2 linked regions of the Caenorhabditis elegans genome follow. The protein of the gene in region 1 interacts with the protein of each later gene in a pairwise test. Each region holds a gene or a part of one and is shown on either strand. Other genes may lie near its edges.

Region 1 (6,237 bases):
GAAAGTGACTTAGATTTTCGGAATTGATTGGCATAAATTATTTACAAATGCCATAAAACTGAGGTTGTAAAGCAAAACTGGGTTGGAATGAATTCAAGGATGTAAATGATAAATTTACAGGATAATTGGATAAAAATTACAGAGAGTGAGTGATGACAAGATGAAAATACAGCAATTACTAACTAAATATAAATCGAATGAATTCTCAATTTGAGATTTATACATCCGGGTTTCCTTCGTTGATTGTTCCTAAAAATGATTTGTGACGTCCGACAGGAATTGGTGCAAGCTGGATACCAGTTGGAGTTGTCGCCTGAAACGTAGCGATGTTTTTTAAAAGTTTTCAAACTGAATATTGCGCTTTGGAAACCGCATTTTTCGGAAACTTATTGAAAGAAAAAAACGAAATTATTTCATGAGAGCTTTGAGATATTACCATATTTAGTAATTGTTTATTTAAATTTACCTGTTCAGATTGTGCTCGAGTATTTTGTCTTGTAAGCAGCGCCTTTTGCTCTTCTTTCTGCGCTTCTTCCAGTTTTTTCTGTGGTTCCTCCACAATCTCGAACCGTCCATGATTACCCTAAAAGTATTATGTATTAACATCTATTTAAAAGTGGAATTCTAGTATAGATTGCATACCGCTTTGGATTTTTGATAAAAGAAAGTTCCGAGCAGGCAGGCAGCACAAAAGGCTGCACCTATAACCACCATTGCCACGTTGTACAAGAACCGAACCGAGCGTCGACGAGGCTACAATATCAATACATGCAGAATATACAAAATTAAAAGTAAAAGCATTCACAACATCAAACAAACCTTTGTAAAAGTCCCATTTATATCAATTAATTCTTCTTTTGCTTGTTGAAGGCTCATAGTGGAACATCTCTTGTGATTCTCATACGTTCGGAAATACGGACAACCCTTAAAAAAACAATTTTCAAAAAAAAAATTGAACCAAAAATTTGAAAAACATTTATTTATGTTTCATTTCTAATTTCTCGTGACATGGTTTAATTATTCTTTTCGCCCGGTCAAATGAATGTCTATACAAGGTCGACCAAAACCACAAAACAATCATTAGTTCGACATATTCGCATACTTGAAGAAATCCATCAATGGCAAGAAAGACTACCGTGGCAAAAGTCGGATCTAAAGGTCCAGGATCTACAAAGAAGACGATTCAAGCTGTCCGACCAACGGTCCGCACCCAAGGAGCGGTTACTCGCTCTCAGGCTGCTCTTCGTGGACATATGGGGATCACTGACTCTTCGACTTCGACCAGTTCATCTCGAATTCCGAAGGAGAAGTTGAAAAAGAAGGCATCATCTCGTAGCCGTTCAAGATCCCGTTCGAAATCTACTCGCCGCTCACGTTCAAAGTCTACTCGCTCACGTTCCAGATCGAGATCTCGAAGCCGCAGTAGCACTCGTGGAAAGAAGCGTGCTCCAAAGAAGGCAGTTACCACGAAAGCCGCTCGATCTATCTCTCCCGTCAAAGTGAAAAAGACAGAAGCCATCAAATCGCGGTTTGTTTTTTTCAGTTTTATTCTAATATTCATAGTCAATTTTCAGTGGAAGCAGCAAAACCGCCCGTCGTGTGTCTGCGGCTCACAAGTAAATAATCGTCGCTTCTTGATGGCAAGGTAGAAAAGAGATCTTTCCGGGATATAACTATGAATAAAAATATTGTGATTTGAAACGTTTTTTTTAATATGCTGTTGTTAGTGTTAATTTGAATATTTCGCATTAATAATGCATTCAACTTACAACAGAAGGACAAAAATAGTTATCCTGGGAAAGTGTAGCCGAGGAAAGATTATATAAATCTCCGCCAATCAGCCTATTCCATAACCACTTCGTCGCGTAATTATGACCTCTTCGATTCAATAATGGCTTATCTCGAATGAACAATCCACTTGGATATCTTGAGGTTATAGTTACCATTGGATAACTGATCATTCCGAATGTTGGTCTCTACAAAATGAATTAATTTTAAATTATTTACAAATCATAACTCACGGCTGTAACTCCATTCTCCACAAATTTTTGAACATCTCGCCAAACTTTGGACCATTTTCGAGACACATCATACATGAACCCTTCGGTTTGGTCTCGAGAACATGCACAACGGGCTCTAAATTTCAATTCAAATTAAATTCTCTGAATTCCCAGTTTTCAATAACTTACTTCAAAAGATTTGATTTCTGCTCGTGGAAGGATGATACATGAACAGGTCCCAAAAGAACAACCAAAGCCTTTGGAATTTCTATTTGCAGATGTTCAATAGCTTTTCTAATGTTATCATACGAAGGTCCTTCACATCGAGAGCAAAGCTGAAACAAATCGGGTCAAATTTTCATTCATTATACACCAAGACATTACTTGATTACTGCTTTTTTTAGAAGAATTCAGAAGGAAGAAGTTAATTTTTTTAAAAAGTTTTTGGAAAAAATTTTAAAACCCAAAAATTAAATTTCAGTTTATGTGTTTAGTTGTTTTTTGCGGCTGCTTCCTGTTTAAGCAGATTCTGTCGTTTTATTCTAGGTTTTCTGTTAAAAAATGTTTAATAAGTAAATATTCAAAGCACATATTTTCATTTAAAAATTGTTTTTTTTTTATTTTGGTGAAAACTGGCTTGAACAAATTTTAACGAAAAAATCGGCTAAGTGCTTTTATTGAAAATACAAGAAAAATAAACAAGGAAGCAGCCGCAAAAGTAAAAAGGACTACCATACAATTTTTGCGCGCCGAGAACCGTCTGAATAAATCCGTGCGCCTTTAAGAAGGTATGTGTGAATGGTGAGAGATTACGATACATATCCCTTTTCTTAAAATAAATTTATCTTGGTTTATTTTTTAAAATTTTTGTTACGAAAAAATTGTTTTCTTGATTTTAGCAGAAATTTTTCCGTTGAACGGTCTTTTTACACATTTATTTACTCACTTCTTCTGTCCCAATAGTAATAATTATCATAATCCATTCATTATGATAATCTAGCTCTGATAATTTTTTCAGTCTGCGTGTTAATCGTCTTGCTTGATCTGGAAGATCTTCGGTCGTTGCTCCGGTAACCGCCACGTTAAGCTGATGATTCGGAAGATCGGCTCCCATTCCGTGAGATACGCCGACTAATTTTGGACTGAACTCCCTCAGAATATCTGAAAATTGTTTATTTATTGTTGATTATAAATTTTTTACAGGAAATTCTTTTTAAAAAAAGCTCACTTGGAATGGTGATCAATCCATCTATAGTAGAATCTCCACCAATCGGGAAACTGGCACCTCGAAACTCGATATCCGCATTTGGCCATAATCCAATTCCAGTTGCGAGAGCATCTCCCATTGCAGCAATGATTGTTATATCTTCAGGAGATATGTTTCCAACATTCGTTCCAGTCAAAAGTTCAGTTTTGATACGAGGACAGGAGAATGTCTTTCTGAAAAAAGCTTCATTTTTATCAATATATTAGTAAAAATAAACCTGTCATTGAATGCAGAGTTGATTACACCAGCCACTGGTTGATGTTTTTCAGGTTTGATGGCGGTCAGAGATTTGAGATGTTGATGATCCACACTGTCTCTTTCTCTGAAATAATAATTGTTTTTGTCATTTTTCATAGAGTTCCAGGAAGACCATCACTCGACCTCATTCAAAAAGCGTTTAATTGGAAGAAACTAATATGGAAAAGAAGATTAAAAAATTAAGTAACTCAACAAAAATAAATAGGATAGTTTGAAATTGGGAGAAGCAGACCATGCGGTTTTAGCATTCTAATTTCAAAAATTGAAAACCCTTCTTCATCTTCGTGTGATGACGTAGCAGTGTCGAAAAATTTGTCATAATCGGCTGATTTTCCCCACATTTTTATAAGTCTGAACTGTCCAAATTTTGTAAATCGCAAGAAGCCGGTGAGAAAAAATGATTTTAAATTAAATGGTCACACCTTTCTTCACTTATATCACTTGAATCATCATCTTCTGAAACTTCTGTACTGTCATTTCCACGCCTTTTTTGTTCTTCTGGAGTTATTTTATCGTCATCACTGCTTCTTCGGCTCGCATAATCGGTCAAATTTTGCGAATTATCCTCATAATCCACCATAAACTTTCCCTCGTCATGGAACTCCCCGCGTAGAATTTTCTGGTCTACATTGGGAACCACAGATCCATGTGCAAAATAAAATAGAAGTAGTAGAAGTAGGTTTAATCGCATTCTGAAAAAATTAAAGTGAAGACAAAATAGTGCTTGCGATAAGGCTAAAGAAGAAGATATTTAAAAGGTAGAATCGTCAAAAGGAGAGAATATAGATCTCCAAACTCTATTATGCTTTATTTGCAGTTCGAAATTGAAAACAATGCTTAAAAAACAAAATTAAATCGACAAGAATTTCAAATAACTAATTATTGTCGAATAAATTCTGGTCGAAACTTCATTTTATGAAAATAATTTGTATTCAGCAGTTGAATACATTTTTTATTTTGAGAATAACATTATTTAAATTAAATTACGAAGCTCCAAAACTTTTTTTTTCACCAATTTCCGTTTATCAGGCCCGAAAAATTGATAAAAATATAAGAATTGCAACCGCGCTCCACCGAATTCTGGCGAACAGCCAACCTGCGCTGAGTAGCGACTCAACAATGATGAACGATACGGAGCTTCGGTTGTCAGTAGAATTTTTACAAAATTTTCCGTTTTTCGCGATTTTTTTCACGGTTTTTCTGGTTTTTTGGTGTTAATACCTGTTTTTAATATAGAAATACTAATTTTTCTTTTCCTACTGTAGAGAAATATGTGAAACTAATGGAAAAATTATCGTAAAAATGTATAAAATGGAAGTTGCATTAATTCAGATTTTATTTAATTAAATTTTACGATATGTAAGTCAGTGCTCTTTTTGATAATTCATGACGAGTTTTCTTCACTTCTCTTCCATATGTTTATTTACTTTCTTTTCAATATCCATATATTGCAACAAAAAAAGTAATCGATTTTTCAGGGTTAAACATGGCTACTCAAGATGATGCCCATCTCGCTGAGCTGAAGAAGAAGAGAACTTTCCGCAAGTTCATGTACAGAGGAGTTGACTTGGACCAACTTTTGGACATGTCCCGGTAATTTTTTAAAACAATATTTTGCCGGCAATGTCTGGTTTTTGGTCATCTCCAAGAACAATTATTTATTTCCAGTGAACAATTCACCAAGCTTCTCCCCTGCCGCATGCGCAGACGTCTCGATCGCGGACTCAAGAGAAAGCACTTGGCTCTCATCGCTAAGGTCCAAAAGGCCAAGAAGGCTGCTGGTGTTCTCGAGAAGCCAGCCACCGTTAAGACCCATCTCCGAGACATGATCATCCTTCCAGAGCTCGTTGGTGGAGTCATCGGAATCTACAACGGAAAGGTTTTCAACCAGGTGAGTCGATTACAATAAATGCGAAAACATTATGATTATTATTATTTTGTTACAGACCGAAATCAAGCCAGAGATGATCGGATTCTATCTCGGAGAGTTCGCTATCTCCTACAAGCCTGTCAAGCACGGAAGACCAGGTATTGGAGCTACCCACTCTTCCCGATTCATCCCACTCAAGTAAAGTTATTTGTTGAACAATAAACTTGTTTCTAAAGTTGATCAAATTATGTTGCTGTCTTTTATACACGGTTGAATAACATCAATTCGAAGAAACGTGATGATTTTATATTAGAATGTGTCGAAATGTCCGCGCGAGTTGAAAGGGTCAGTTGAATATTGGATGCGAATGCCTTTACGGAAGCCCGCACTATCACAAAAATAACCACCCAAATTTTTTGAATTTCTTTTGTATTCCTAATAAAAGTAAACGAATATCGAGAACTTGCTGGCCCTGGATGTCATCGACCAATCTGAATACCGTGATTACCATTCTTCTACACAGCAATACGCTGCTTTTAATGAACAGAATAGTCCGAACACAGAATTGCAATAAAAGGCCATAATTTTAGAAAACGGCTTCTCATTTTTTCTCATCAACATTAAGTGAAAAAATGGATAGATTTTGTTCTTATTTCTCCGAAAGGTATCAAAAATGTTCGACTTGGTGGCAATAAGTTTCCTCGTCACATACTTCGCTGTCTCCCACTTGATTTCGTGTTTGTTATAATTGGTCCATTTTCTGGATCCTGTCTGTCAGATTAAAGTTTCTGATAACAGATTTCGTCTAAACGGTAATCCAATGTTCACGAAGTGTTTATTCA
Region 2 (6,237 bases), on another chromosome or scaffold:
GTTCGTCGACGGAATGATGGAACATGAGTGTCAAATACGACGAGAATCATCTTGGAAACCGCGATAAGAATTGAGAAAAGAATCTGATTGACGAAGAGATCACCAGATATTGTGTTGGAGTTGAGATCAGTTGCATATCCACAGATTGAGGCAACAAACCACATGGACCAGAGGACGAAGAGACGGCTCATGAGTCCTTTGGTTTGGAGCATTTCCATTACTGTCTGAAACAATTTTGTTGATTGAGCGTTTTCAGTGAGGAAATTGCTTCAAAACATGCTTTTGGTACCAACATGACCAATTATCATAGTAAAAAATTCAAAATGTTTTTCTAAATTTTATATGAATTTTTGAAAATTGGGAAAATCTCAGTTTTCGTTGTTCTTTTTTCTTTCAAATTTTTGGTGTGCAATCGTTTTAAATACTATTAGCCAACGCAATAGTTTTCTCGAAATGTGGCAAAAACTCAGTAATTGCCACTATTGAACCGTCAAGTTTAAAACAATTTTAGTGTTTGAAAAGTTTTACTATGATATTTGGTAGTTTCGAAACCATATAACAGAGGAGAGCCTTTTTTGCCGGTTTGCCGATTTGCCGGAAATTTTCATTTCCGGCGGTTGCCGATTTGCCGATTTTCCATTCGCCGGATATAAATTTGTCGGAAGTTTCTAGGGAGATTTTTTATATGACGGAAACATTTAAAACTGTACCTTTTTGAAATGTTTTCCCGTTTTCTTTGTATATTTTTTTTGAATTTCATTAAATTTGAAATTCTGAAATTTAGCACAGTTTGCCGATTGCCGTTTTTCTGAAATTTTTGTAAAATAGATCTCACCTTCGAATGTTCAATTCTCTTATGCTCAATTGGAACATACGGTACTCCTGCCATTTTTGCAATATGCTTCTCACTCTTTTTCATTTCATCCAACCTTCCTTTATTATGCAACCATGTCGGAGACTCTGGGAACACGAATACAATAATAATTAGAGCTGGAAGAGCAGCCACTGCACATGCAATCGATGACATTCTCCATTCGGGTAATGCCATTGCGATTAGGGTCATCATAAGACGAGCTACTCCCTGAAAAGTTGGATTTCCTGATTTTAAGCGTCAAGCATGGTGCATCGAAGGTTTCTTAAATACTTTTATTTTGAACATCAAGTATGAGATCGTTTTTTAAATTTAATTTTTGCAACAAAAAAAAAAAGAAAAAGCATTTGTCTGGATTTTCAAATCAAGCCTGTCTGTTAAAAAAAGAATGAAATTTTTGAGTTGAAGCTCAAAAAATGCCCTTTGCAAGTTTTTTATTTTCACTGTGCAATTTATTTAGCAGTTGACATTTCATAAACTTTATTTTCTATACCAAATGAAAAAAAACATGTGAAATTTACCATCTGTAGCAACCATTATAACTGAGATCGTGGCGAAACCCATTTATAAAAAATCATGTGCCTTTAAACAGGAGTATCGATGCACCATAACAGACGCTCCCTCATAGATTAAATGCACTATAAAAGTGACAAAAATCACATACCCAATTAAAGAATGCTCGCAGAGCCATTCTCTGTTGCGGCAGGAGCATTTCCATCACAAATGTGCACACAACTACAAGAGTTCCACCGACAGACAAGCCCAAAAAGAATCGGATTCCCAGAAGAACTTGGTAGTTTGGAGCCAATCCTGGAATAATTTTATTTGTTAAAAAAAAATTATTTTGAATTTTCCACTAACCCGTCACGAAATTCATGAGAATTCCAAGAGAAAGTGCAAAAACGGCGACAGGCTTCCGTCCAACAACATCTGAAACTGCTCCAAATGAAAATGTTCCACATAAAACGCCGGCAAATTGAATTTGTGAGAACAATGACTTCAAGTATGCAGATTTTCCACAAATCCAGTCATATTCCATTGCAGCTGACTTGAATGCCACGTTGACAAATGTTAAGTTGGATTTACATGATTCATAGACTGAACAGTCTGATGTTGGCTCCCCATTTCCTGAAATTATCAATTTTATTTGGGAAGCTTAGAAAAAATAGATTTCACGGTCAAGGCCTTGACTTGCAAGGTTTCTTTAAAATTTTATGTTTTACAGATTTGTCAAAAACAGTTTTTATCTTCAATTTTGGATACCAAATTTTGGCAATTTAATAAAAGTTAGTTCGTGTTTACAGAATATTATGTTACACACTGGTTACACTATATTTGTCGCACAAAGATTAAAAAAAACCTGCTCGTCAGATATGGCTTTTAATTTCTAAAGAAGGATTCTCTGTCATTTTTAAAATGTAATGTACTACAATTTGGGGTGTCGGTGTTTGCAGAGATTGGTTTTCGAAGTTTCTTTTAGAAGTTTCTTTGTATTCTTATTTTCAGAAATTTGGTAATTTTCGATTCGAAAACTGAAATAATGAACATTTTCGCGTCAAATATGTTCTAGAAGTTTGTCTACTCAATGCACCATATTTGACGCGCGAATTTGAAAATTTTGTCAGTTTATTTTTATTTAGTTGCAACTAGTTGTTTGTTGTTTTCAAACAAAATCAGAAAATACCGTTTTTTTTAGTGATTTCCCGGAAAAAAATGCGCGTAATTTAAACATCGATTTTGACGTTCAAAATCTAAAAAAAAATGCAGGAATTTTTCCTCGAAAAAATGTGACGTCAGCACGCTCTTAACCATGCAAAATTAGTTGAAAAGTTTGCGAAAAACTTTCATAAGTCTGGATTTCTTTCAATAAAATTTTTATAAAAATATAAAAACAAACCGCATGTCCATTGTGGCACATAATTCGAGAAAATCGGAAAAATCTGTTGTGAGGCGAAGAAAATGGAGAATTGCCAAGTGAGGAGAACGAGAAGGTGGAATCGATTAATATCGAACCACATCCTGAAAGTGTTCGAAATCGGTTTTGCGAATTTCTCACTCTCTTTTTTTTTTTGATAAATTGATAGCAATTTTTGTGTTAACAGATATGAAAAGGATAGATGATGAGAAAAATTACACTGATTTAAGTAAAGAAGAGATTGGAGTGAAAAACGAAAAAGTCCGTTTTTCTGATCTTTCTGGGGTTATTGGAGTAGGTTTTTATATATATTCTTTGGTTTTTAATAAGGACACCGGTTTTTGAAAATGATGAGACTAATGTTAAAGAAAAAACTTCGTCTGGAAAAAAACGTTTCCGTAAATTATAAAGGTTACCTAGTTGTTCCTCTAATTAAATTTGAATTTTTGGTACAGAATTTGATTTTAATTCTAAATTTTTAGACCAACAAATATGGGCTGGAATTTTGAAAATGGTTTCAAAACTTCAAAACTGTGAAAAAAAACGTATTTAGGAACATTTTTATACTTCAAAGTCAGTTTATTTTGGTTAAAAATATGATTTTCCGAATTTTTTTAAAGAAAAAACTCAAATTCAACTAATTTCCTAATTTTTTTACCAATACAAATTCACTATATAATTAAATATTCGGTATTTATGCAGAAATTTCGGATTTAAATTTAGCTTATTTAATTTTTTTTTTGATACGGAATATTGTGAATAACAGGCGACATTAATATTTTAGTATTTGAATATTTTAAAAATTAGACAAATTTTATAAATTTTTTAGAAGGTATAATCGGTTATTACGGTATATTTTTGGTACTTGTGTACACATTTGTACAAACATTCATTTATTTTGAAAATAAACATTTAATCGAATTTTTTTCTACCAATATACCAAAAAAAAGTTTTTTTAATTAAAAAAAAATACACTGAAAAATTCAAAAAACATACATAATCGAGCCAAAACAAAATGTTCTATAAATGGATTTTTACAAAAAATTCCAACTATCATATTAGTAACATTTTTGGTAAAACCAAAAATATAGAAGAGCTAATAAATTTAAAACTCAACTTTTATTACATTAATCGGCGGTCCTACTTATCCAAAATTTTAACAAATCTAGTTGAGGAGATATAATGAGTTTTGTGACGTGGCAGGCGTGTGTATGTGTAAGGGGATTCGGTATGGCACAAAGCTTATCAAAACAGCTGTCAATTGTCAGATAATGAATCACAATCACAGAGACACGACAATGATTCTTTCCTCTCATTTAACTTTTGACCGATAAATAAACACACACAATCAACGAGAAACGTTTTCTTCGCTTTTCTCAAAAATTCAAAAATTTATGCTACAATGCTGGAACATAGAATTGAATTATTCTAGGTACTGTTTCGATTGAAAATCATTTTATGTCAATAAAATCATTAAATAAGTTTCAGAAAATTTCAAAACAATCCACTAAATTCAGAAAAAAATATGAATGTCCACGTACACAAGCTTTGTCTGAAAAAATTTTTGAGCGAGAATTATGAATTTAAAAAATTAAAAATCCCGGCTCTACACGTTGACTACACAGGTTTTTTATCGGAAAAACAAATTTTCAACAAGATTCAGTAAATAATTTTTAAAAAATTAAACAAAATTCTAAATAATTCAAATAAATTCTGGAAAAAATTAGAATCCCGGATTGTAAAGGTGGAGTACACAAAATTGAGGTGGCCTACAAAATGAAGACAAATTGGGATTTTCTAGGCCATGGGCTTGTTAAATAAAGCTGAAAAACTTGAATTTTGGAAAAGATATAAAGAAATAAGAAATCAAGAATAACGAACTCGTGAATTTTTTTTGGAAACAAATATATATAGAAAAAGAAAAATGAGAGATAAGGAGGGGGAGCTGTTATCAATAATTGACTGATTGGAAGAAATGGGTGCCCCCAACTGAAAAAGATGTGTTCAATGAGAGCAAAAACAACGGAAAATGATCAGGAAGAGAAAGAGAATGGGAGCGCACAAAAACAAGGAGCCGGACAAAATTCGAGCCAATTTTCGGAGGGTTACTGTAGTTTTCTAGGACGGGCACATAAATATTTTGCTAAACAATTTTTTTGCTAAACACGGACAACAAAATTTCGAGTTTCACGAAGATCTAGGCCAACTTTCAACAAAATTAATAAGATAGAAAACTCGGCCATTTTTTTCCACGGCCACGTATACCATTTATTCTCAAAAAATTTGAAACCCCTGTCAAAGAAAATGCGCTCTATTGAGAAGTCCACAAATTTATGTTTCGTGGCGAGAAGAGAAAACTAGGCCACCAAAAATGTTAATATATTTAGTAATTTGGGAACTAACGGGCTAAAGTAAATTTTAAAAAAATCAGTGAAGCTTGGCCACCGATATTTTATTCAGAAAAAAAATTAAAATTTTTATTTACAAAGTGCGGCCTATTGAGAAATTCTCTAAAAAATCTGGGAAAAAATATTCAAATTTCCAGCTTATCACACTCTAACTAGGATGAATTGCTGGCCGAGTTTTTGCGTTTTCTAGGCCACGTGGCAAAAATAGAACATTATTGCACTGCACAATATTTTACTATAACCAAAAAACAAGAGAAAAAATTGTTTTAACTTTTTTTGGGAGAAGTGTACAAAGTTTAGTTTTTGTCACTTGTTCTCCTTTTCTTCCGCCGCCCATAAACATCTAATGGGGTTATTCAAGTAGTGTCGGAAAATTAAAAAGTGTAGAAAAATTACGTCACAACTGTATTTAAATACATTTTGCTACATTACTTTAATAACCCCATAAGTTTTTGCAAGTTATAGAGACAAAAAGACTGGAGGAAAACATAAAAAATAATGATTAAAGGGACAACCGGCCAGGAAAGAAAAAACATATGAAGATGGGCAATAAAATGTGTGGTGATAAGCGTTGAATAGGCTCTCCAAATAAACTAAAAACTAGGCGTTAGGGTGCTTATTTATTAGTTTGGATTTTTAAGGGGGATGCTCTTTTTGCAAGTTTGCAGGTCTTTCAAAAAATCGCAAAAACCTCACTGTTTTTAATATATTTTGTAGTATTTTGTTGTTTCTACTAATTTTCATATCGAAATTTCTAATAATCCAACTGAATACATATTTTAATACATATTTTAAAATGTTTTTTTAGGAAAAAAATAGTTGAAAACAATGGGTAAAATTTTCAAAAAGTACGAAAAATTCTTTGAAAACGGGCTAAAATTTTGCCGTCCAATTCCTAACGAGACCCAGCGTTTAGGGGTGGTGCAACCTTATTACGGGAGCATAATATTCTGAGAATGCGTATTGGGCAACATATTTGACGAGCAAAATAAATTATAACTATATCTCGTAGCGAAAACTACAGTAATTCTTTAAATGACTAC

What was found. The genes of interacting proteins can lie anywhere in the genome.
Region 2: the proteins of F36A2.9 (region 1) and K11D9.3 interact in a two-hybrid assay, tested with the Caenorhabditis elegans proteins (one large-scale study listed by BioGRID).

What each region holds. Positions count from the first base shown.
Region 1 is NC_003279.8:8,814,960-8,821,196, reverse strand, and holds the start of F36A2.9 (Lipase_GDSL domain-containing protein), read right to left. Parts: upstream 4,222-6,237; 5' UTR 4,217-4,221; coding exon 3,948-4,216; intron 3,590-3,947; coding exon 3,485-3,589; intron 3,441-3,484; coding exon 3,229-3,440; intron 3,162-3,228; coding exon 2,947-3,161; intron 2,336-2,946; coding exon 2,190-2,335; intron 2,137-2,189; coding exon 2,022-2,136; intron 1,977-2,021; coding exon 1,770-1,976; intron 1,699-1,769; exon of another isoform or gene 1,621-1,698; coding exon of another isoform or gene 1,575-1,620; intron 1,529-1,574; coding exon of another isoform or gene 1,119-1,528; exon of another isoform or gene 1,094-1,118; intron 925-1,093; coding exon 820-924; intron 754-819; coding exon 643-753; intron 584-642; coding exon 467-583; intron 314-466; coding exon 218-313; 3' UTR 1-217. Other genes in the region: F36A2.10 (DNA-binding protein), read left to right, coding at 1,119-1,528, 1,575-1,620; rps-15 (Small ribosomal subunit protein uS19), read left to right, coding at 5,012-5,118, 5,194-5,416, 5,472-5,597.
Region 2 is NC_003281.10:10,798,210-10,804,446, forward strand, and holds the start of K11D9.3 (Major facilitator superfamily (MFS) profile domain-containing protein), read right to left. Parts: upstream 2,891-6,237; 5' UTR 2,890-2,890; coding exon 2,769-2,889; intron 2,000-2,768; coding exon 1,733-1,999; intron 1,682-1,732; coding exon 1,536-1,681; intron 1,082-1,535; coding exon 836-1,081; intron 225-835; coding exon 1-224.